Linked DNA regions of Schizosaccharomyces pombe. Changing the gene in region 3 together with the main gene of any one other region gives a genetic interaction. Each region holds a gene or a part of one and is shown on either strand. Other genes may lie near its edges.

Region 1 (5,330 bases), on a different chromosome or scaffold from region 3:
CTCTACAGATCCCCCAATTTTTGTAAAAATTGTCGATGTATCCCTTAAAATTTTATTCAACTGGGACCTATCCAACATTTCTCTTAATCAAAAACTTTGCGGTTATGCACATCTTTACTCTTTTTCAAGTGTAAAGAGTGTTGTTCACTGGCTTCAGATTATAAAAAACTGTACTTTCCAGCTTTATGACGACGATATGGCTCTTCTAGCTGGATATGGTTCACGCCATTACCAAGTTCCTCTGTTTCCTACGAATAATATCAAATGCCCAATGCTGATACTATGGGGAGGTAAAGATACTTTGATCAATATGGAAGTAATGAGAACTGCTCTTCCTCCCCATGCAAAGGAAGTTTCGGTAAGCCTTTTATTTTATAGGTTTGTTGCTCAATATGCTAATATAAGTTAGATTGCTCATTATGAACATCTTGACTTTCTATGGGGCCAGGATGTTAAAGAGGAAGTGTTCCCAGTTGTAATAGATGCCCTTAAGCATCATTCATTAGGCAAAGCCAAACATTTCGTTAAACAAAACGGTTTTCATTAATGATTAATTAATAATTTAAAAAAAAAACTTCTATATAACGCTTAGATAGATATTTAGAACAACTTTAATTTTGTCAGACTATTTTCAACTTTCATAAACAGCATATCGAAGTGACTTCGAAGAACCATTGTTTCGAGAACGATGCCACGAAATAATGAACTGTTTACCACTTTCACTAGGCTGACTAAAAGCAACTTCTGCAGGCGATATAACGTAACCGTAAATGAATTTTTTTAAAGCATTGTCTAATAGTAAACTTGCTATCCCTTGTTTGCGTCTTGAAGCTGATACCCAAATCCTGGAAATACCCAATACAAACCCCTTTCGTAGATTTTCGTTTTTTATATATACTGCGGAAGAGGTGCTATTGTTGTTGTTGAGTTCAAGTTCATCGACTATGTATGCAGAAGATATACGCTCTGCCAGAAGTAATCCGACACATTTCTTATCTGATATGAATAGAAATGTGGTATATTTATCTACCCCAATTGTTTCAATAGGCTCACTTGAAAGTTCGTTATTTACGAAAGATAAAGCTTCCTCTGCTTTTCTTTGATCAATTAATGAGCTTTCTGAATTTATGCTGTATATGCAATCGGAACTCAAACCATAGTTAACGCGATAAATAGGAGAGCATTGAAAGGACACAGTAACACCTCCTAGAACCCGAGAATGAAACCTAGAATGAAGCAAAATATCTTCTTCGCTCGTTGAATTGTACTCCATAGAACATTCTGAACAAGTTACGGTGGAATTAGCCAAATCTAAGTGTAACTGGGTCATGTTGTCTGAGCTGTTGGAAATTGCTTTTGGCGTTTGCTTTTTCCAATTTGGTGTCAGATTTCCACCGTTTCCTAAAAATGCGTCCAAAAATGCTCTTTTGTTGTTTGTTTCATCGGATAAAGGTGCATAATGCTTGCTACCGGTTTTCCTTCCATATGTTTTAGGCTTTACTTGCTTAGGTTTATCATGGGATGGCGGTACTAAGTTATTATAGCGTTCTTTTCTCGAAATGGAGAGAGCTATATGATAATCTTCATGTTCATTTCTTTCGGATAAAGTAATTTTCTGTTCGCATTCTTCACACGTGTAAGTTTCATCAGCTGAATTCTCCGTTGGTTTAGAAACAGCGGTCTGTTGTAGCATATCAAAAATCCCTTTACCTTTACCTCTTTTCAACCTTTTAGGTGACTTTATATCTTTTTCCGAAGATAATTCAAAAGAATTATTTTCCCTCATATTTTCGTTCAATAATTTAGCGCGTCCCTCAATAGAAGGTGAAACAGAAGTAGACATGTAGATTTCATCATTGGACTTTTTTAAAAAACCCTCAATTCCCCTAGAATTACGATCAACCTCTATGATGTTTTGAAAGCTAATAGATAAGTTTGAAATCGGATATACATCGAATTCCTGTTGCAGTTGACGCAACAGTTTGGATGTTGCTTCAACAATAAACTGAGTGCTAATATCAACATTCATAGGTATTTGACTTGACCTTGACTTTCTCAGAAATCTTGATACAACAGTCAAACAAATGGTCTTGGGCCTTCTCATTCCTTCAAGTTCAAGGAATCGTGATCGAAGATCAGATGCGAATACTTGAAACCAGTTAATTGCATCTTCTTCAGACTTCACTTTTTGCTGAGAAAAATTTTTAGCCGACAACATTGATTTAATCTGAACTTGTGTAGTAATCTCAGTGTTATCAATTCCATGGCACAAATTCCAAACGAGTGGACCGTTAGTTTGACCAAGCTTATCTATCAAAAAGTCCATACTCATATTCCAAACATCCTTAATAGAATCTGTTCCTAATAAATTAATTATTTCTTCTCCAAATTTTCCGCCCAGCATTCTTATATCAGTAATCTTTAATGACACTAAATAATCTTGAATTGCATTTTTCGTTAAAATAGTTTGCTTGTTTGGTTTATTACGCGAGCTGACAAGCTTTGAAAGCATTGGGTTAAAAGAAACTCCTGCTGAGCACGTGTATTTGAGTTGCAAGTATATATCATCGCGAATTTCTTTCACGATTTTTGCAGCGTAAAATAAAAAAACATCATCCCAATCCCTTTCATAATCTTCTTTCGTTCTATCTACAACTTCTTCTTCAATGACCATTCCAAACTCAGCAGGCCATAGTAGCACTGGAGCCTGCGGCAAAGCAACATTTGAGTCCTCAGAGGGAATTTTCAAGTAAGGATATTCCTCCAACACAATCCGTTTAACATCACTCGTAAGTTCAATAAAACATTCGTCAATACTAGCCTTCTTAACCACAGGCGCATGTTTCTTTATGATGTTAAGAATCTTAACGCTTTCGTGCCGATAAGGATCTAAACAGGTTTTATAGTAGTTAGGATTTGGGTTTTCATGGTACTTAGCCTCTGACTCCCCAGCTTTCCAAGTTTTTACATGAGCGGTACAAAGCTCTGGACATTTCTTTTTTGCTTCAGTAACTGTTTCATGGCGTGAAATATTCGCTGCACGGGCTGCGTAGTTTACAGCAATAAGCCCTTGCCATTGTTGAACAGCAAGGGGAACTGAATGGTCTAATCCTAGGCGAACACTTTCGACTTGAGCGTAAAAAGCATCCTGATCAATATGAGCTACAACCCTTAACGGTGAATTTTGTGTACCTGCTTTATCACAATATTGCAAGTCCTTCCAAGAGAATTTGCTTTTGCCTAATTCCATTCAGTTCATACCCTCAAAAAAGTTCTTTAATAAGAATCGCTCAAGTTCTATAGCGCGTTCGTGTTGAATTTAGTGGACTAAGGTACTAGATATAGCAACGTTACCTACTACCAGATACTAAAGCAAAATAAATTCAAACTCTCATAATGTTGTAACCAAAATAAATCATCAAAGGAAATTAGATGTTAAACTTAAAAACTGAATTGAGAGAAAACATTCAGGAATTTTATTTAAGAGACTACTTTAATATGTAAACATATATATAAACACAATGAATATACTGCCGCCATGAAAGGTATTGTATATGATGAACAATTAAGATGAAATTGCTGTTAACAAAGCTGCAAAATATTCAAATGCTTCAATTTATTGCATATGATGCTACCTCATAGCAAATTAATCCTTCATTCATCATTTTCAAAATCTTCTCTTTTGGGCACCGACATATTTAACATGTCCGTATCACTAGTGGATTTCATAGATTGTTCGTAACTTTTTAGTTTATAGCTGTTGACTCTGGATCGTATCTTATTATCTAATTTCGACCTTATTGGGGAATTGAACACAGCCAGAGCTATCAATATATATATATGCACAATAAAATATAGCTCTTTCCAAACGTGTATTGATTCTTTTAGATTCAAAAGAAGGAAAGAGATAATTAGATAGGAGAGAGAGAGGTTTGTTGCTACCATACCAATAACATCATAGACTCGCTTAAAAGGCCCAGGAGTTTCCATATCTGGTTTAAGGAAAAATGGGCGAACATGGCGACGCGTGTATTTTGCAACTGTTTGGATAAAGGCTGCGGAAACAAAAGTCAAATAATATCCAGCAGAAACTCCATGCCACATTGCACTAACAGTGAATGTGCTTAGCGTACTTTTGAACCCTGGACGCTTTCCCTTCTTTGCAACTCTCAAATAAACGTAATTTCGAAGCCATTTATTGGTATTCATGTTCCAAGCCTCAAGAGCACATTTGATATTATCTGCGAATTCGAACTTAATAGGGTCAATATTCTTCACTCGATCCCAACGAGGATGCTTAGAAGAATCCAGGCCATTATAACCAATGCCTGACAATATACATGCACCGTCAGAAAGTTCCCATGCGCCATAATATTTCATTCTTGCAACAAAAGCAGTTATGCAAACGTATCCATATTTTAGCAAAATAGGGGAGGAAGCAAACTTAGGTGTAAGTAGAAACTTTAAAGGATAGATTGAGCTTCCGGTAATAAATAAAATCAGCCACAACAGACCTCGCCAGCAACGACCTAAGGCTGGTTCCAAACTGTGTGGTGTTATCTGTTTTTCATAAGGATCAGCCAAAGGCTTAAACATAGAAAGGGTTATAAACCTTTCGTAATCAACATAATCAAAAGCTGGACCAACAAGTAATGAGGGAAAGAAAAATACGTATCCAAGGAAATACAAGATATTAGGAATCTTTCTCAACGCGCGGTCTTTTTGATAAGAAGATAATTCACTTGAAGGAAGACGACCGTCGTAAACAGACCAGGCAAACGCTGTAAGCTTCATACATAGTACCATTTGTGAAGCAGTAATATCAGTATTTTCTGAAGGGTAAATGTACCGAATAACATGGCTGCTAAATGTATGGCCAAGGATTACTATAAATATGATCCATGGCATTCGTGACGATCGATAAAACGCGGCCACGAAATATGTGAACAAAGCGTCAAATAGCAAAACTAAAACGCCATCGTAAAGATGATGAACACCAATGAGATAAAATAAACCTATGCTTATTGAAAATAAGTTTCTAATCCATGGAGCCGAAGGAAGTCTTTTTAGTATGCCGGCAAACGGGTATGCTGAAAGAAAACAAAACAGTAACTTGAGCTGATCCGGGTGGACTCCAAGGAAAGAAGAGAAGTATTCAAATGGTATATCAATAAGATAAGCCATTGTTAATGTAGACAATACTGTCTCCTGCTTTGGGAATGCCTTTGAATTGAACAACTGATATTAAACACTCAACAATCGATTATTCTTTAATCACGAATGTACAGTGAAGATTGTACCCAGAGTTTGGTGTTGGTGAAGTTTTAGCT
Region 2 (7,897 bases), on a different chromosome or scaffold from region 3:
TCACGCGAACAAACCCAACTTTTGTATTAGACTTTTCTAATTTTTGCTTATAAACCTCTTCAATAAACTCAACAATCCAACTCTGAAATTCGGGCTGAATGATTGGAGGTAAATGACTTTTAATGTGCCATGAAACAACTGTCTGTGGTTCTTCATTTGTAGCTGAAAAATTTGCTGCCACCATTTTTCCTCCATAATTAACGGAATCCATCCATAAAAGATAATCCCAGTATTCCGTGACATTTAGATCCAAAAAGTGAAATAGTGGTAACGTCTTAATGGATTTGAGTAAATAATTTGAATAAGTGACAGCGTTCTGGACGATTAATTTGCTCGTTTTGATTAATATTTTATTAGCAGAAGCGTGTATGATATGTGCTCCAAGGCGTTTTATCTCAGAGAGAAGTTGTAAAAAAGTTTTTCTCATTATAACTTCCACGTGCGAGGAGAGTAAAGGACTGTACAGATAAGATTTTGATGAAGAAATCCATCGGGCTAAATGTTGAATTATAAGATCAGCGAGATTATTACCGGATGCAGCTTCGTTCCACCAAGTTTTAACCAACGCCTTCAACACCGGCAATGAATGTGTCAGTCCAATATTATCATGTATTCCCAACTTTTCCTCCAGATCATCATTTATGGCGGTCATGTAATTATCATTCAAAGCTGCCATGTCGCCAATACCTTCTATGTCATTTATGAGAGCAGAATTGAGAATGCTACAAAGTGCAAGGTTGGAAAGAGAAATGTCAACACAAGCATTTGAATAAGCACCAGGATTGTTAACTTCTAGTGGATCTTTGGGACTGGCAATCTGCAGAATACTATCCTTCTCAATACCACCTAAGTCTGGAGTTGGGCCTTTATTCCACCAAAGGATAATATTATGTTCTTTCAGCTTTCTAGAGTAAACAACATCGATACTGTACTGAATGTCATCGCTTTCAAAGTTGCATAATGGGATATCTGAGAAGCGAGAAAGTTGTATGCGATGGAAAAGCCAGCTACCAATAGCTAAGAAATGTTGGATCATTTTCGTAGCAATGTGTTGTTTCCAAGAAAGAGACTGTATGTTGCTCTCAAGCCGTGGTATCATTATATACGGAAGCTCTTCAATTTGCTTCACATTTGCCTTCAATATGTGAGGGAGTGAACTTTCAATAATAAGCAGACTATTTTTAGTTTTAGTTGAAAAATATTGAAGCAACTTTTCATCTATCAGTTTGTACGCTTTCCTTTCGTTTCCCGAGAAAATGACATTACACGAAAGAGTATCAGGGTATTCGATACTACTTTCCTTAATTAAATTATCAAATTTCGACCGTAGCTCTTCGTAAATTTTGCTGATTGATGGGAAAGACATATCACTACCTGGCAGTTTGTCATAAATTATGGCCTCAACTTTTTTTAAATGTGGCATAAAAAGTGAAAAAACAAACCTATTACTAATGGAAAAATGGAATGCATAAAGGTAGTTCATCTCTACTCCATCAAGATAGGAAACATCGTTATCACTTGGGTCAGTGAACATTTTAGATTCAAATCCAAATTCGAAGCCTTTACCTAACGCTCCAGGTACTGAATTATTAAACCTTTTTCTGGATCCCATTTCTAATATCAATCTTTCAATTGGTTCTATACGAGTCTCATATATTCCACTAACAGACGGATGGGCAAAAATCATAGAAATTGATACCTTTTCCGTTAAATAGCTCTTTTCTGGAATTTCAAGTAAAAAAAGCTTATCCGAAGTGCTTCCATGCGGTAATATCGCATTGCTTTTTTCAATTAAGCATCCCTCAATTTCAACATTCGGTAAAGTCTCATCTTTGAAACATACAAAAAACTTTCTATTCACAATGAACCGTATCGAGGTCAACCGATTACGAATAATTACCCAAGCATGTAAAATACCAGGAACATCGGTTTCTCGTATTTGTAAAATATGCCATAAATTTTCAAACATAACTTCAGCAGAAGATTGTAAAACATTGGTGAATTGCCTTGATTGAAACCCAATTAAATGTCTTCTTCGAAGCTTGACCTGCTTCTGATATTTCCACTTTTTCTTAGCATACTTAAGCCAATTCGAATATCCATCCATAAAGGATACAGGTTTTACTTCAAAAGATACAGGTGCTTCCGAGTTCCCAGATTGTTGTAAAAGTTTACGCTTGGTAACTCGAGCGACAATACGCTTATCTTTGTGAGTCACACTTCCTAAATCCTCAATATCAGTAACTTTTGTGTTGTTTATTGTGGATGGATTTGTAGGGGCTAAGGAGAAAATGGAATCGATCTTTTTCTGTTGGTATTTAGAATTCAAGACAGCAACTCGTTTTTGAAGCCAGTCCGGCAATGGAAAACGGGTAACGGGGTTTGAAATCCTTTGGAGAGCAGCAGGGATGCTAATTAGTTTTTGTACTACTGATCCTAGACGTTTCAAATAATAATCCCAATCAATAATGTCTCTAATATCAACATCATATAGACCATTATCTTTCAACCAGAGCCTAAGAAAATGTCGCTTAACAGATTCTTCAGCAAAGAAAATAGCTACCGGTACTGCCCTTTCTGCAACTGGCCTTCCTTTTGGACTTGCGGAAATAATAAAACGACATGCTAGACCTTTGTCTTTGGTCATTTGATCACCCAAAAAGTCAGCCAGTCGCCTGGCTGTAGTAATGGATGTCGATTTTTGGCTTCCGTATTCAGACAAAGCTTTAGACATACTACGATTCTCAGAAATCAGTTCAATTAATTCATCATCTGTTAGGTTAGAGCCTTTGGTGAATAGAATCTCTAACCAAGTGTCAGCAACATAGGCAACTTCTTGATAGCATTCCTCTAAAGAATCACCTTTCAAAAAAACTTTAAATATCTGAGATTGAAAATCCTTAATGAGCTTCAATTCTCCTCTTCTTTTCACCTCAAAGCCTTTAAGTTCAGCTAAACTACCATCGAAATTGAAAACGGCATAACGCTTTTTTAAGTTTTTACCTTCTTCCGTTGAAGCAGGCAAAATCATAGCTCTATAAGGACCATCAACCTCAAAAAAAATGCTGTTTTCACTAGTTGTTTCATACACCAATTTCTCTGGGTCCTTTAAGGCAGAATATTGATGATTGGTGAACTTTTCATGAACCAGGTGATTTAACATAACGCATGGATAAGAGATAAAAACCTTTCCTCCGGATTTCTTTTTAAATTCAAAGTTTTCAGGAAACGATTCTGGAAGAATACACCAAATACCATCTGTGTCAAGTTCCAATGGCCTACCTGCACGTTCAACTATTTGACGAGCCATCTGAATAATCGTAGCGCCTGTCAAACATGTGATACCAGCCATTTCAATCGAATACCAACGGGAGCCTTTTCGCATGACATATCCATAGAAAGAGTTTAAAATAACTTTGTGAGCTAACTGTAAAGAATCGTAGAGTACGACCATCTTTTTGGCCTCCTCTATTTCAGCAAGTCCTCCTTTTTCCTTTATAGCAGCAAGTTGTTTGACCCATTTTTTTTGCAATCCTTTAAAGTCATAACGGCGATCCCTAAAGCTTTTTACCGTATCAATATAAAATGAGTTTTCCTTTTGACAAATTATAGTTTCCCTTTCGATAACGGTATTATCATATAGACGGTGATACACTTTACGGCTGTAATCCGCAATGCGCTTTTGCACCATAGCAGCTTGTTCTGAGGGAGAAAGCTCTTGAAATGACCTAAAAGGTGAGAAAGGGGTAGGGCCTGGAAAACGCTCAGATTGTAAAGCAGAATATATCATATGATATTCACCTTTTTTAGCAGGGTAATACTCCCCTCTCCATGCCCATACCATCCGACGATCACATGTCTTATTGGGCACATTAAGATCGCATGTTGCACAAAACGATTCATCTTTTACTGAATCTGGCTGTAACCGGTTGGTAATCATAATATTTGGGTACATTGAGGCGACATCAAGATGGTAAATCCTTGGCTTCTCCGACCTTTTTGGTCGATCACGAAGGTCACTTAGTTTCTTTAATATGCTGTCTCTAACCTCTTCATAATTTTCGATTTCATCAACATTGACGTTGTTTTCAACTGTTAAAGAAAAATCTAAGGCTTTGTCCAACTGTAAAATTAGTTCTTCATAAACTTTTGGATCCATGTTGAAATTAGTCGGCAAGTCGCTTCTAAAAACACCACTTTCAAGACTTTCAACATGTCCTCCAACATAAGTCTCACTTGCAAGTAAATGACCGTCGAAAAATTTTTGACTAGCATCAACATGTTTATTCGGAAGAATAATATTTTTTGTACAAGCCTCAACAGTTAAAAGCGTTTCACACAACGTACCCGTGCCTTTACGTAAAACTTCATCAGGATTTAATGGGATAATGTTACAAAGAGAAAAAATGAAAGGATGCACATATTTCATGTAAAGAAAATAAGTAGCAACAGCATCTGAAACTGAATATTGAGCAAGAACTTGAGGTTTTTCACTTGCATAAGGAGTCATCAATTCTGGATCTAGTTCGATAGGATTATAACCTAATTTACTGACAGTGACAGCTTTGAGACCTTGACTTCCTTGAGGTAAATAACTATCTCTCTTTACCCACCGGAAGGCATCCATATGACTACAATAAGAAGACTTATATTCATCCTCTGCGTCCCTGAAGAAACCAGTTTCTTCTGTTAAATTCAATCCGTGAAATGCAGCACGTGCGTCTACAAATGGCCAGTCAAAGAAGTCACCATTGTATGTAACTATTACTGAAGGCTTTGCAGACCTTATATGTTTAAAGAATCGATGAAGTAGGCCAACTTCATCAGGCTCATTAAAAATAATAAATGGGCCCTCAAATTCCTCCCTCGGAGTATAATGAAAATCTTCAATATTCTGGGAAATAATTTCTCTATTGGTAATTAAAAATCCTTGGCCATCAATCATATAAGATATCATCATTATTTTATCGAACGAGCTATCAGGAAACTTCAATGGCAGCTTAGTGGTTTCAATATCAAAAGCCATTATAGTAGGTTCTGCACGCTCGATTCGGGAAGCTAAAAGGGATATTTGAACATGGCCTTCATGATATGAAACAGTATACCATTGTCCGACTCGAATATTCAAATCAATAAGTGTACGAGAATGATACGGAACATCGTACTCACGGATATCTAAAACATGATTTAAAGGATCTTCAAATGCGTTTTCTATAATCCCGTTTAAATTCTCCGAAGACAAGTTAGTGTATGCATCAACGGCATCTTGTTGGGAAGAATTAGCTTTCACAGCAGACATCAAAGACTTCCTGACAGCCTGAAGGTCATTCAGGTTATCAAAAACCAACTTTATATACAACTTTTGGTAACCCACTATGTGGTTTTTTAGCTGTAAATCTTCTTTAAAGATACGCGTAGTAGATTTAATTAAGCCCACAAATTTTTTTTTTAAATAATCGTCAACCAAAGCTTCTTTACCTTCTCGAGCAGCAATGTAGAAGTAAGGAGAGTATGGAATGGTACACCGGAAAGTGTCACCATCGTCTTGAATGAAGTAAAAGTCAACGGCACTGAGGGTAGAATTGCCTTTGGTGCTTTCGATTACTGTTGGATGAACGTTGAGAAGCCAAGCTTCTCGTGGTTGTCCACCTTCATAGCTATCAAAACCCATCATTCGATCAATCTCATTCTTTTTGTAGACAATTTTCATAGGATCATTGAAGCCAACTTCCTCGGTTGATTTTGCAAACGTCCTACCGTTCGATTTACTTTTTCCATTGTAGTTACCATTAAATTTCCTAAACTGATATTTGGATGCTCCTCGAGCTGTTTTTAAGGGCATAGCAATACAAAATAAATATTAAAAAAAGAAAGTAAAAAGAGACCGACAGTTTAGTAATTTCCGATTGTTACCAGAGAATTCTAAATTAATAAATGGAATAGTATTAAGAAGAAACTTCTTCTATTGTACAAACATTAGGTATCCTTTTAAATGTGATATAGTGGTTTGGATTAATACCGAGTTAAGAGGCAACAAATTGGTAAACAACAAGTCGCGTCGCGTCGACAACTTGCAAATTATTTTGGGTATCATGTTCCAGTTCAAAGCATTACAATTTATTTATTTTTGCCATAAAATAAAGACAAAGTACAAAAAAATACAAAATTTAGTATACATTAGCCTAATGATCGTGTGTTTCGACCGTAAGTAATTATTTCAAATCGATATTGCTTCCTTTAAGGATTGAATTTAAAGAAAAAAAAAAAAAAAAAAAAAGCAGTTTTCTTTTAGAGAAGCATGGTGACGCGGTTTCTGCTTTCAGTGATATAAATTGTCAAAGCTTGGTTATTTTGGCGAAATATACTATCATAAATGGAAAAGTTTATATTAATTCAAAGAAAAAAATATTGTCTGATTGCTGAAGTACAGGATTAAAGACCCCGCCATAGTAAAAAAACTTAGTAGTGCTTAATTCAATCAGTTTGATACCTTATATTTACCTCTATTCCACCATTAACTGAAAAAGCTTAAACGAATCAGTAACTATGAGTACACCAAATGAACCCGAAAAACCTGGGATTATTGACGCTTTCAAGGTAGAATTTATAGCTTAAAAAGGACTAGTTTGTTGTAAATGCAAGGAATGCTAATACTACTTGTAGTCATTGAAGATGAGTGATTTTGCTCACATGGTACACCATCCTTGTTTTAAGGAATCATTAATCACCAGTGTCGTCTGTGGTCTAGGTGTTGGTTGCATCCATTTGTTTCTTCGAGGTACGAAAAAAAACATTATGCTGGTTAATTGATGTCCGTCAAAAAAAATCGCATGTCTTTTAATTTTCGGACCAACTTTTTAAAACGGTGATTTCAATCCGTTGTTTAATAAGCGGTTTAAATTCTTGCCGACACATGCTAACAATATTCAAGCACCTATTTCTAGAGCTGCTAATTGGGGGTTCGGAACTTATTTTGGAATGAGCATCGTCTCTTGGGAAGGGTGTAATTACCGCAAGCAGCTTGAAACTAATAACTTCAACATTAAAATTACAGAAGCAGCAGAAAAGACCCCGAAGCATCGCTCTTCAAGGTCCGCTCAAGAAATTGATGAAGGTTTTAACGAGTAATTGCATTCATTTGATTCTTTAGGTTCTACTTATTCTTAAGCTCTTTTCATCCCTCTATTGCATGGTATGCTGAGTTTTTCATTTGATCGATTAACTCTTATTCAATTAATATTTTAAATTTGAGTTCATCGGAATGGTTTGTCATTTTTAAATGGTATTCATTGAAGAGTGTGAATTATCACCAAAGAATCCAATGTTGAATTTTTAACTGCCTCGAAGAATTCAATCTTTTTAGGGTGCCATTACAATGGGTGGAATACATACTCTTGGTATCTTGAACGTTGTATTAACAGCAAAAAAGTCTTAAAAATATACAGCATCCACATTTTCCCAATATTAACTAAACAATGGTAGACTTTTTGTTCGTTATTTACTTTATAAGTACTAGCTCATCTCAATCTTTCGTGCGTGTATGTTTACCCCTTTATCGTAAAGTCAGTCTACGACCTTGCGAGGGCATCGCATGATTTCAGCTAAAAACTTTCCAAAATAAAAGTAACAAGACCTTTATGGTGGTTTATTTCTACTAACTGGATGAATAAGCTATGTGATATTTTTGAATGTAAATATGTATTCTTTACGACAATTTTTGTACGATTGGCTAGAAAAAACATTAAAATCAAGTATTTGCAGTCCCATCGTCATTCTTGTTTATTATTTTTTAACAAAGTAGTTTAATCAGGGTAATTTCTTTATTTATAATTATCATCGATGAGATATACTGTTTTTAGGAGGAAAGTTAGTGGCACTTCAGTCGTTTATTAAATAT
Region 3 (4,018 bases):
ACATTTTCTCCCCCTCCTAAAAGGGCAAATTATTTTCTAAGTATTTGCTTTTCTGTTTCGGTAGTGGTTAGTTTAATCGGTTTGCTCGGTGTGTGGCAGAAATTGTTACCAAAATCAAATGTTTACTCTGTGTCATCATCTTCATTTGCTAGAACGTTTGGCTTTGCCTCCTTGGCCGTTGCAGAAATCCTGTTGTTTATTTACTGGACTTCTTTGTCCATCTTCCAATTTGGCGCATACGCTGCTGGCGTCGCAATCATGTGCGGAATCGCTGCTAAAAGTCTTTAAATCGGCCTATCCTTACAATCTTTGAGTTTGACGATGACTTTACAATTGACGTTGACATTTATGTAATATTTTTCAGTACCGCAATGTTATTTTGTAAAATAGCATGGTTACTTTATCTAAAAATAGTTGTCTTTGACATTCTTTCTCTAAAAGTTTTACTTGGTCTATACAAACTGTCAAATACTTTTACCATAAGCTAGTTGCGCAATGATTCGCAATCCAAAACTTATTTAATGTTGCTTTAAGGTCAAGATTAATAAATTTTATTCCAAGAAATATGTGTCTAATGTGTTTGATTTTCTTTTTTTGATTGTAGGATTTGCAGTATGATCGGTATTGATCAAGGATTTAACTGTTTCGACATTTAAGCAAAGGTCGACATGTTGGTTCAGTATACCTAATTCGTTTTCAATATTTTTCTGGCAAACGGGACAAGGAACGGTATTCTGGCTTTGGAATTTCTAGTAATAATTAGCATATTGCTAGCAGTATATTTGCTTGACTTACAAGTTGCATGGCCAAACAACGCGATTTACTAACCAGCTTTGTTGCTCTGACTCCTAATAAACGAATAGTCATAGGGTAAGATTGACGCAACAATTGCAAAGCTGGTTTCAATAAATCAGATTCTGAATGAATGAATTGACCTATGCTCTTTTGCTTGGTATGAACTTGAAATTCGCTTGTTTTATACTTTATAGCGATCGAGTTTGTGACTAATCCGCGCTTTTGTAAATTTTCAGATACATTTTGTACAAGAAGTCTGAGCTTGTACTCGATTATTGACGGAGAACTAAGATTGCTGGAAAATGTAGCTTCAGACCCAATTGTTTTTCGTTTGCTCTCACCGTATTCGTCTAAAATTGTAGTTCCAAATCCATAGCTACATCTCAACAAGTTTTGGAAACTTTTAGGTAAAAAGATATAAGATAAAATCACCAAATTTCTTTGAATATCCCCACACGTCTTAATTTCCAAACCAAGTAATTGCTGCTCTAAAACTCTACCAATACCAGAAACCTGTAATGTTAAAGAATGCTTAACCAGATATAGAAAGACTGCTTACCTCTCTAACAGGCAAGTCATTCATGAATTTTGAAATCCCAATCTCGTCAAATGGGATAAAAAACTGATTATTTGGTTTTCTCTTATTGCTTGCAATTTTGGCTAACAACTTGTTTGCTGCAATACCACAACTGACTGTAACTCCTGTTTCTTCATGCACTTGTTTCCTGATTTTCTCAACCACCATCGTTATGTTTTCTACAGTAAATGCAAGCTCTTGGAGACGTAAATGTGAAGTCAAGTTCATATAAAATTCATCAATGCTTGCAGGACACAAATTCGAATCATACTGAGCAAGCACATTCTGAATTTCTTTAGATTTTATTGCATATTCAGAAAGATTTAACGGAATTACAACTAGATCAGGACAAATCTTTCTAGCAATAAATTCTGGCATCGCTGATCGAACTCCAAACTTTCTGGCCACATAATTAGCAGTACCTTATTCAGCATTAGTTTCAGTCAGATTCGAATACTTACACAAAACACTCTTCCCGACTGCCATTGGTAAAGACTTAAGTTTTGGATTCTTAAGTTCCTCTATTGATGCATAAAACGCATCACAATCAACATGAACAATTATTTGGGTCAAATCTCGTTTAGCCCTAAAATCCTCAACAGTAGTATCCACACTTTCTTGTCTAATGGTCCACTCTCTTTGAAACGCTTTATCAAACCTTAATTTTGATTGGTATTTTTCTACCTCAACTTGAACCTTTTCTATTCTTAAACGAAGTTCTCGGTCTCGTTTTTGTTCGGCTTCAAAAAACTTACTTCCTTTGGAAGCTTCGTAAATTATCTCGTTAATCTTTTTTTGATTAACATTTTCCTGTCCTGACTTGAGAACAGAAGGGCCTGCCAATCGTCGTTTTAAAGTAGCTTCTTCATCTGAACTACTGCTACCATCATCTTCAATGGTAAGTAATCCATTCTCCTTTATTGTTTCTCCTATAAAATCTTTTGCATTTTCCATCCGTCAAAAAACATTAAGGCGAATAGTTTTCAAAATACTAGAATTTGAATTAGTACAAAGATGTGTTTGTGTTTTGGCGCGTCGCGTCTGTAATCTATCACCTTCTAGCGATTACGCAGTAGAGTATATCATTATTTGTATTATGCATATCCCACAACATCGGTATTTTTTGGAAATTTGAATTTGTATTAACAATTTAAAACATAACAAAAAGAAGCCTAAAGAATCTTGCATGTGCGTTTTACACTATTCATCTTATAGACTTCTAATCTTAGTCCCATAGTTCATGAAACACTTAACTCAAAATCACAGCTACCTCAACAATGTAACAAAAAAAAAAAAAAAAACATTACCTCCATCTAACCAGGTCATTGTCATCAAATTACAATCTTTTCGTTTTCCTAAAGAAATTGGAATCAAGTACTATCTTTAATGCTTCAGTGTCCTCTGCTTCTCTGCCTTTTCAACAATCTTTTGCTCTACCAATAAGCCTTTCCTTTTTCGAACGTTCAGCATATAGCGCTTAGCAATATTTTCGCGATCGGCTAACTCGCCTAAATCTTCCAATTCCTCCTCAGTAGTTGGAACCCAAAAGGGATTCTCGTCTAGCATCTCAAAACCATGGAAGATTAATTGAGGATAGGCAGCACCAGATGTCCTTTTCAAAATTTCTACAGCGAATCCAAAGGATTCAACAACTGGAATCAAGGCTTTTACAATAAAAAATGGAGTCCCTTCCTTCATTTCTTCATCAATTACTCGTCCTCGTCGCTTCGAAACAACACCATATACCCTACCCAAGACTTCAGATGTGGCCTGAACATCGCAAGAATACATGGCTAGCATAAGTCTCGGTGACCAACCTAAAAATCCATGTCTAATAGACTCTTTCACTACCGAAATAACTTGACCGGGGATTTGGGGATTATTGATGGTAAGTAACTTACTATCTTCCGAGTCATCAGATATGTCAAACTGATCGATTGACACACAAATGCCTTGAACGGGTTCAGCACACAATGGTCCCTGGTGCGTTATTAGTTGAAATGCAGTAACTACATATTCAGAAAGGTCTGAGGGTATTAATTTTGTTTCATCGCTTTGTCGTCGAAAATCTCTCATCTTCTTGGTTTTGTCAAAAAGTATATTAGGACCCACTCGTTTGGGGCCAAACGCAATGATACTAGTATTGTTAGTAATCAACCAATAGAACACTAGTATAACCTACCTATCCAAATGATTTTTCAGCTCGCCTAAGTCAGAGTTCTCTTCCTCTAAAAGCTTGGAAAGCCTTTCATAAAACTTCTCAGGAGTCAACACTTCCTCCATACTTTTTGTTAAAGATTCCGAGACAACAACGTTTCTATTTTTCTTTGAAAAATTGCTGCTAACATTTTCAATTGTTTTAGAGTGCTTCAGCAGAAAATCTACGACAGACCCAGAAAGAGGTGTTACTGTAATTCCAATCGTAACTCCGCCAACTGGTAACGTTGCAGTGACAAAGCCAATACTCAGTTCTTTATTTTTTGCTAATAAGTCGGGTGTAGCTATGGTAGTTTCCCGATATGGCACAAGTGGCTGAGATGCTTGTATTTCAATTTTTGCAAACCGTTCCCTAAGGTCTTTTAAACATCTTTCCAAATGAATCTCTCCGGCACACATAATTACATGCTCTCCATTTTCTTCAACGGC
Region 4 (7,244 bases), on a different chromosome or scaffold from region 3:
CAAAAGCAAATAATGCCAGTAACGAACGTGCTCCACCGCCTTTGTCGCATTTTATAGCGGGTGGGTAAGTGATTTGTAAATTTACGGGAAATGTCTTTCTAATATTCTTTAGAGTTGCAGGAATGTTAGGAGCGATTGCAACAGCACCTTTGGACGTAGTGAAGACGAGGTTGCAGTCTGACTTTTACAAAGACAGATTTTTGAAGCAAACGGCGAAATCGAAAAGTCCATTGACGGCTGCATATAGGCATTTTATGGATACATGTATAATATTAAAAAATGTAAAAGTTCATGAAGGAACAAGAGCACTATTTCGTGGCTTAGGTCCTAATTTAATAGGAACAATTCCTGCACGGTCAATTAACTTTTTTTCATATGGCAATGGCAAGCGTATATTGGCTGATCTCTTTAATAATGGTCAAGAGAACTCTCAAATACATCTAATGGCTGCTGCAATTGCAGGTGTAATTACTTCTGCTGCGACTAATCCAATATGGTTAGTAAAAACACGATTACAATTAGATAAAAAAAGTGGACAAGCTGCTCAGTATCGTTCTTCGATTGATTGCATCATAAAAACAATAAGGCTTGAAGGATTCCGAGGATTATATAAAGGTTTATCTGCCAGTTTACTAGGAGTCGGTGAAAGTACTCTCCAGTGGGTTCTATACGAAAAATTCAAGCACGCTGTCGCTATTCGACAACTTCGTCGAAAAGAACTTGGTATTCAAGAAACTATTTATGACAAAGTTTTAGATTGGGGTGGGAAGCTTGGAGGAGCTGGAATTGCTAAATTTATGGCAGCCGGCATTGCATATCCACATGAAGTTGTTCGAACACGTTTACGACAAAGTCCATCTATAAATGGTACTCCTAAATACACTGGACTCATACAATGCTTTAAATTAGTTTGGATGGAACAAGGGATTGTTGGACTGTACGGAGGTTTGACTGCACATTTACTACGAGTAGTTCCTAATGCTTGCATTCTTTTTGGAAGTTACGAAGTAATAATGCACTTCATTGGCTAGGTTTTCCAATGGCATGTTGACTATAAAACGGATCTACTAAAATTACCAGCTTGGAGAAGTGAGGAACCTATAGCAAAAGAGGATAATCATCACCTTTCCATTATTTTTTATATAATAATGCACATGAACAATTTTCCATTCGTACGGTTATGCTTAAAAGACTTATATGAATGTTAAATGCAAAAACTTTGGACTCCTATTTTTTTAACCAAAATTGCGTTTCAATTAATGATTTTCAGAAATTGTATTTATGATCTTTTGTCAATTTTTCTTTAACATGCTAAAACTTAAATTAAGTAATGAAGTTGACTATTTTTACTTCTTTATTAGTTAAAGGTAAGTATTTGTCTCAAATGGTTTTGAAAAATTTTGAATGAGTGGTTAAATCTCTCTTTGTTATCTTTACTCTGCATTTTGATACAAATTACGGCCCATAACAAAGCTTATTGAAGGTGTACGTTAAAAAACTTGTTGTGAATGATGGTTCTAAACGAGCGGACTAAATAGCTTTACCCCTTTCTTTTTTCATAACAATTCAAATCTAAATGGTCGGTGCGTTGATTTGCCATTAAAACAATAATATTATTGACATTTTAATATTATTTTGGATTCAAAAAAAATTTGTATTAACTAAGTTTCAAGTTATTCATTTACAGCAAATGTAGCCATATATCAACATTTTGTACAAATTTGATATGAATCATTCAAAAAGTTCGTTTGAGGTTCAATAATATGATTTTAAGATCTAAACTATTGTCGTTTCCTAACAAAATCATTATAAATTCTGCATATATCCCTTTTGCTATAGTTGAGGAACTCCTGTAGATTAACTATTCGTTAGAATAATGAGTGCAGTAATTCATCTATTTTAAACGGAATTAAGTAAGTATTTATATATAAAAATTAGTCTTATTATTCTTGGTCAATTTAACTCTTATATTTCACATATTGATTCTTACAGTAGTGGCACTGTTTAGGGTGTAGAGGTTGATCTAATCAACACTGAACAACATTTGCCATACTATGTGAAAACCGACATTTTCTCTCAGCCGTGATAAAAACTATCATATGAAATTTTACTATAAAAAAAGCATTGAATGCGATTTTCAATCGAGTATATAGATTGGGAATTAAGTCCTTGTGATCCAGCTTATGATTTCGTAGGGAAAGATTTGCCGACTGCAAATGAAGAGTTAACCACTGTTCCAGTTATTCGAGTTTTTGGATTGAATGAAGAAGCAGAAACTGTTTGCTGCTTTATCCACAACGTTTTCCCATATATTTATGTCGAATACTCTAGTTTTGCAGAAACGTTAGATCTTGAAGTTCCAGATTTTTTAAGCCAATTACAAACATCAATTAATTATGCTTTAGCATTAGCGGCAAGAGCAAATCCAGAAACTTACAAACCTGCTGTACAAAGCGTTCAGCTTGTGAAGGGAATTCCGTTTTATGGGTACTCCTTCTGTTTTCAGAAATTCTTAAAGATCTGTCTTTTTAGTCCGAAAAACAGAGATAGACTAGTCGATTTATTCAGGCAAGGTGCTATATTAAACAAAGTTATTCAAGTTTACGAATCCCATCTTCCTTACTTACTACAATTTATGGTCGATCATAATCTATATGGTTGTGCTCCAATAGATTTAGATGACTCCATTATAAAGAGAGACGATCTCTTGAGTTTTTGTAACGTCGAGGTTCACGTGTCTCCAAATGCTATTCTCAATGCCTGCTGGTTGAGTGAACGTAATATCCATACTGATTTATATGAAACTCATGCTTCAAGTCCAAATTCACTATTGGTAACTAGTTTAGCTGAAATTTGGAAATCGGAAGCTTCTCGGAGGAATTTAACCAGTAGCGATGAGACTAATAGTTTTTCTAAATTGCACCAAAGTCAGTTCGGTCTCAAAGAAGAGAGTAGCCATGAACCGCGAAGTTCCCAGCACTGGAAAAATGAAGTTGCCATGAAAGATCTGTTAAAAAACTTGATCAAAAGTAAATTAGAATCTTCTTCCGATGTCAATACTCCACTCATCTTTGATCCGTGGCCTGAGCTGCCTACCATTTATTCTGCAATCCACACCAAAGATTACGTACGCCCATCCCAAAATGATATTTCAGTTTCTCAAATATCTGTAGATGAGAAAATCTGTACTTCTTATGAAAGCCTGCCAAAGATTCAACTTGAACAAAACACTGCACCCGTCATAGAATCTTCTTTTGAACAACTGGACTCTGAGCTCGAGCGTATATTGGGAGATACACTTTTTGATTCATTTCCTTATGTAGAACCCAATGTTGATAGATCTAAATTTCCCAAAAGTCCTCTTAATTCTTCTCAAGAAGTTACCATTCACTCTTCACAAGATAGACAATCACCTCCCTCTTCGCCCTTAAAAGATGTACCTTCTCAAATAAATCCATTTTCCCCCAGCCTTAGATTAAAAGGGGGTTCACCCATAACTAAAAGGGAAATTGAATTTTGTCGAGATCTGCCGAATCGTCCCACCAGCTCTGAACCGAATCAAGGGGATACTAGAAAAGCAGGAAAGAGACTAAAATATTCTAGAAATCTTGATGATTATCATATTTGTACTCAAATTCCTGAAGACTACTCCCCAAAATTCTTATCTCAACATGAATCTTTTGTTTACAAACAACAACCTCCTTCGACGGATGATCTTTATGGGACTATGAAAAAATTGAAAATCCCATTTTCAATACCGACAAATGTTCACTATAGTTCGGAGAAGGACATTCCCTCTTACTCCCAAGAATATTTAGGAAAATCTCATTATCCGATCGGTGTTTCTTCTAGATATTTGCCAGAATTTCAATCAGATGGATCGGTAAGCGAAAAAGTTCGACTAAATCCACTTAAGCTTAGTAATTTTCACGGAGAACGGACGTGGCAATATATAAAACCTGCACCACTTGCTGTAGATTTATCAAATCTTGAATCGAAAGAAGCCGTTTCAGAGGAAATACAAAGCCCACAAAGGTTATCCAGAAGTAAGGTTTTTAGAAAAGATCCTTATTCATGTGTGCGCATCTTAGCGCTTGAATTGTTTTGCTGTAGCCATGGGGGATTGACCCCAGATCCCACTAAAGACTCTATAGAGTGTTGTTTCTGGGCATATCAAGAAGATGTAAACAGCAGTATGATTGACAGAGTTGGTTTTATTGTGGTCGACAAATCTGCGTCGAACTCTTCTTTTGGGCGAAGTTTTCCAAGCTGCACCGTTTTAGTTGTAAATTCCGAACTTGAACTTATTAATGAAGTTATAGGATTAAATCGCCAGCTTGATCCGACCATCGTATGTGGTTACGAAGTTCATAATAGCTCATGGGGTTATTTAATAGAACGAGCATCTTATCGATTTAATTATGACTTGCCTGAACAATTGTCCCGACTTAAGTGCACTTCGAAAGCAAATTTTGCAAAGAAAGAGAATGCATGGAAATATACAACTACTTCATCCATCAATATTGTGGGCCGGCATGTTTTGAATATATGGAGAATTCTCCGTGGTGAAGTTAATTTACTTAACTATTCCCTCGAAAATGTTGTTCTTAACATTTTTAAAAAGCAGACCCCTTATTATAATCAAGCTGATAAAGTGCATCTTTGGCAGAGCTCTCGTTTTCATGAGAAGCAAATCCTTTTAAATTATATGTTAAACAGGACTAGATATTGTTTGGAAATATTATCAGCCTGTGCCATTGTCACTAAAATTCGTGAACAAGCAAGAATTATCGGAATTGACTTCATGTCAGTAATTTCTAGGGGGTCCCAGTTTAAAGTTGAATCTATTATGTTTCGAATTGCAAAGCCTGAAAATTACATATTTCCATCACCTAGCGCTAAGCAAGTTGCTGAGCAAAATGCTTTAGAAGCGTTACCTCTTGTTATGGAGCCGAAGTCTGATTTATACAATAATCCGGTAGTTGTACTAGATTTTCAGTCACTATACCCCTCTATTATAATTGCATATAATCTTTGTTATTCCACATGTCTTGGACCTGTGAAAATAGTCAATGGAAAAGTTAAGCTTGGATTTATGTTTCATTCAAGCAATCCAAACATTGTGAATTTAATAAAAAATGATGTATATATCTCCCCTAATGGTTATGCATACGTTAAAGAGAATGTTAGAAAGTCTTTGCTCGCTAAAATGCTAGAGGAACTTATTGAAACCAGAAATATGGTGAAAAGAGGCATGAAAGATTGTGACTCGGACTATGTCAACAAAGTATTGAATAGTCGGCAACTGGCCCTAAAATTGATTGCAAACGTAACTTACGGATATACTTCAGCGTCATTTTCAGGAAGAATGCCGTGTTCAGAAATCGCAGATACTATTGTGGAAACAGGACGTGAGATACTTAGCTATTCACTAGAATACATAAATACTTTAGATTTTTGTCATGCAAAGGTCGTTTATGGTGATACCGATAGCTTATTTGTTGAATTACCTGGAGCGACTAAAGAGCAAGCTTTCGACATCGGACAGCAGCTAGCAAACAACATTACTTCCAGATTTCCTTCTCCAATTCGACTTAAATTTGAAAAAATTTACTTTCCTTGTTTCTTGTTAGCGAAAAAAAGATATGTAGGGTTCAAATTTGAATCAGTTAGTCAAAAAGCTCCAATTTTTGAAGCGAAAGGCATTGAGACAGTTCGAAGGGATGGTACTCCTGTTCAACAGCAGCTCCTTCGTCGTTGCCTTGAAATACTTTTTAAGACAAAGGATTTGTCAACGGTCAAAAAAGAATTTCAGAACGTATGTTATCAAATTATGAGTGGAAACGTTCCTGTTATGGATTTTTGTTTTTCAAAAGAAGTTCGTCTAGAAAAATATAAAGAATTAAGTACTGCTCCTCCTGGAGCAGTTATGGCTAGACGGTTGATGACCAAAGATCCTAGGAGGGAACCTCAATATGGAGAACGTGTTCCATATTTGATTATCGCTGCTGCTCCTGGTACCACCTTGGCGAACCGCTCAGTTGCACCCGAAGAATTTCTGTCTTCGAGTTTTTCTCAACTTGATATAAATTATTATATCAACAATAGTTTGATACCTCCATTAGATCGATTTCTAAACTTGTTAGGGGCTAGTGCCCAGTCATGGTATCATGAAATGCCCAAACCACGTACCAGTTTAAAATTGACTGAAACAGTGAAAGGAGGTATTCAAAAAAAGACTTTGGACACTTTTCTGATGGAGAAGCTTTGCTCTTCTTGCTTGAAGAATAATATTGAAATTATTCCTGATAAAATTAACTCCCTCTGCAGTGATTGCTTAAAAAATCCTTGTGCTACTATTTCTAAAGCTGTTACGCAGCACAATGCTTATAACAAAAAACTTTCCTTGCTATTTGATATTTGTCGAGGCTGCAGTAAGCTTTCATCTAGTGATCCAGTTCTTTGCAAGTCAAATAGCTGTAAGGTGTACTATGATAGGGCGAAAACTGAGAATTATGCGAAAGTACAGGCAGAAATGTTAACGAAGACTCTTGGTTCTTTAGACTGGTAAATCATTATAACTTCAAATATTGGTGTGAAGGACTTGAAATTAAAATACATCAGGCATTTGTTCTCTTATCACCTGCTAGTTTATTCATCTACGTATTATTTATTACAATTATTTATTTTTTTTAGAAGGTTATATCGATAACTAAAAATATTAATATCATCATGTTATTGGATTTTTTTTTTTTAGTTAAAATTTAGTAAACCTCTTCGTATTCTAGGGTGCGTAGCAATTCTTTATTTACTTTTTACTGTCCGCAATACTACGCTGTGATACTTTACGTCGCGTGTCACTATATGTCAAGTGCACTGTTTTGATTTATCAACTTGACATGATAAGTTATCAAGGTACGGTTACTAATTATGATAAAGTAACTATCACTTACTACATTCAAATTCTTAACACTATATATTGAGATAAACTGAAGTGAGGACGGGAATCGGTTTTTAGCTACGTTAGTGATAAGTAACAGATAATGTGTATTAGAATACTTACATCAATTGCTACTTATATTACCTCGTATTGCAATATAACAATCACAAGGAAGATTCAATACTGTTTTTAAGTATCGTTAAAATAGATACCGAAATACGTAGCTGATATTTGCGAGACAAATTACTTCGTAATTATCAAAATTCGTACGGGACACGGATGTCGTAGTTTTGAAACAGAACCA

Evidence for each region.
Region 1: of kpa1 (region 3) and eso1, changing one enhances a phenotype caused by changing the other (phenotypic enhancement), as found in Schizosaccharomyces pombe (one study listed by BioGRID).
Region 2: of kpa1 (region 3) and cdc20, changing one suppresses a phenotype caused by changing the other (phenotypic suppression), as found in Schizosaccharomyces pombe (one study listed by BioGRID).
Region 4: of kpa1 (region 3) and rev3, changing one enhances a phenotype caused by changing the other (phenotypic enhancement), as found in Schizosaccharomyces pombe (one study listed by BioGRID).

What each region holds. Positions count from the first base shown.
Region 1 is NC_003423.3:4,276,342-4,281,671, forward strand, and holds eso1 (mitotic cohesin N-acetyltransferase/DNA polymerase eta Eso1 fusion protein), read right to left. Parts: upstream 3,313-5,330; 5' UTR 3,251-3,312; coding exon 632-3,250; 3' UTR 548-631; downstream 1-547. Other genes in the region: SPOM_SPBC16A3.12C (triglyceride lipase-cholesterol esterase), read left to right, coding at 9-358, 410-547; ale1 (MBOAT family O-acyltransferase), read right to left, coding at 3,655-5,184. UniProt on the Schizosaccharomyces pombe protein: Probable acetyltransferase required for the establishment of sister chromatid cohesion and couple the processes of cohesion and DNA replication to ensure that only sister chromatids become paired together.
Region 2 is NC_003423.3:3,251,834-3,259,730, reverse strand, and holds the start of cdc20 (DNA polymerase epsilon catalytic subunit Pol2), read right to left. Parts: upstream 6,010-7,897; 5' UTR 5,843-6,009; coding exon 1-5,842. Other genes in the region: respiratory chain complex IV assembly protein Cox20, read left to right, coding at 6,547-6,597, 6,664-6,778, 6,932-7,128. UniProt on the Schizosaccharomyces pombe protein: DNA polymerase II participates in chromosomal DNA replication.
Region 3 is NC_003421.2:291,752-295,769, reverse strand, and holds kpa1 (DinB-like DNA repair polymerase kappa), read right to left. Parts: upstream 2,395-4,018; 5' UTR 2,327-2,394; coding exon 1,834-2,326; intron 1,795-1,833; coding exon 1,355-1,794; intron 1,309-1,354; coding exon 796-1,308; exon of another isoform or gene 750-795; coding exon 552-749; 3' UTR 523-551; downstream 1-522. Other genes in the region: oligosaccharyltransferase delta subunit Swp1, read left to right, coding at 1-288; GTPase Ria1, read right to left, coding at 2,756-3,509, 3,555-4,018. UniProt on the Schizosaccharomyces pombe protein: DNA polymerase specifically involved in DNA repair. Plays an important role in translesion synthesis, where the normal high-fidelity DNA polymerases cannot proceed and DNA synthesis stalls. Has a role in meiosis.
Region 4 is NC_003424.3:3,127,750-3,134,993, forward strand, and holds rev3 (DNA polymerase zeta catalytic subunit Rev3), read left to right. Parts: upstream 1-2,039; 5' UTR 2,040-2,128; coding exon 2,129-6,571; 3' UTR 6,572-6,743; downstream 6,744-7,244. Other genes in the region: rim2 (mitochondrial pyrimidine nucleotide transporter), read left to right, coding at 1-64, 113-1,031. UniProt on the Schizosaccharomyces pombe protein: Nonessential DNA polymerase. Required for DNA damage induced mutagenesis. Involved in DNA repair, mitochondrial DNA repair and translesion synthesis. Has a role in the bypass of abasic (AP) sites.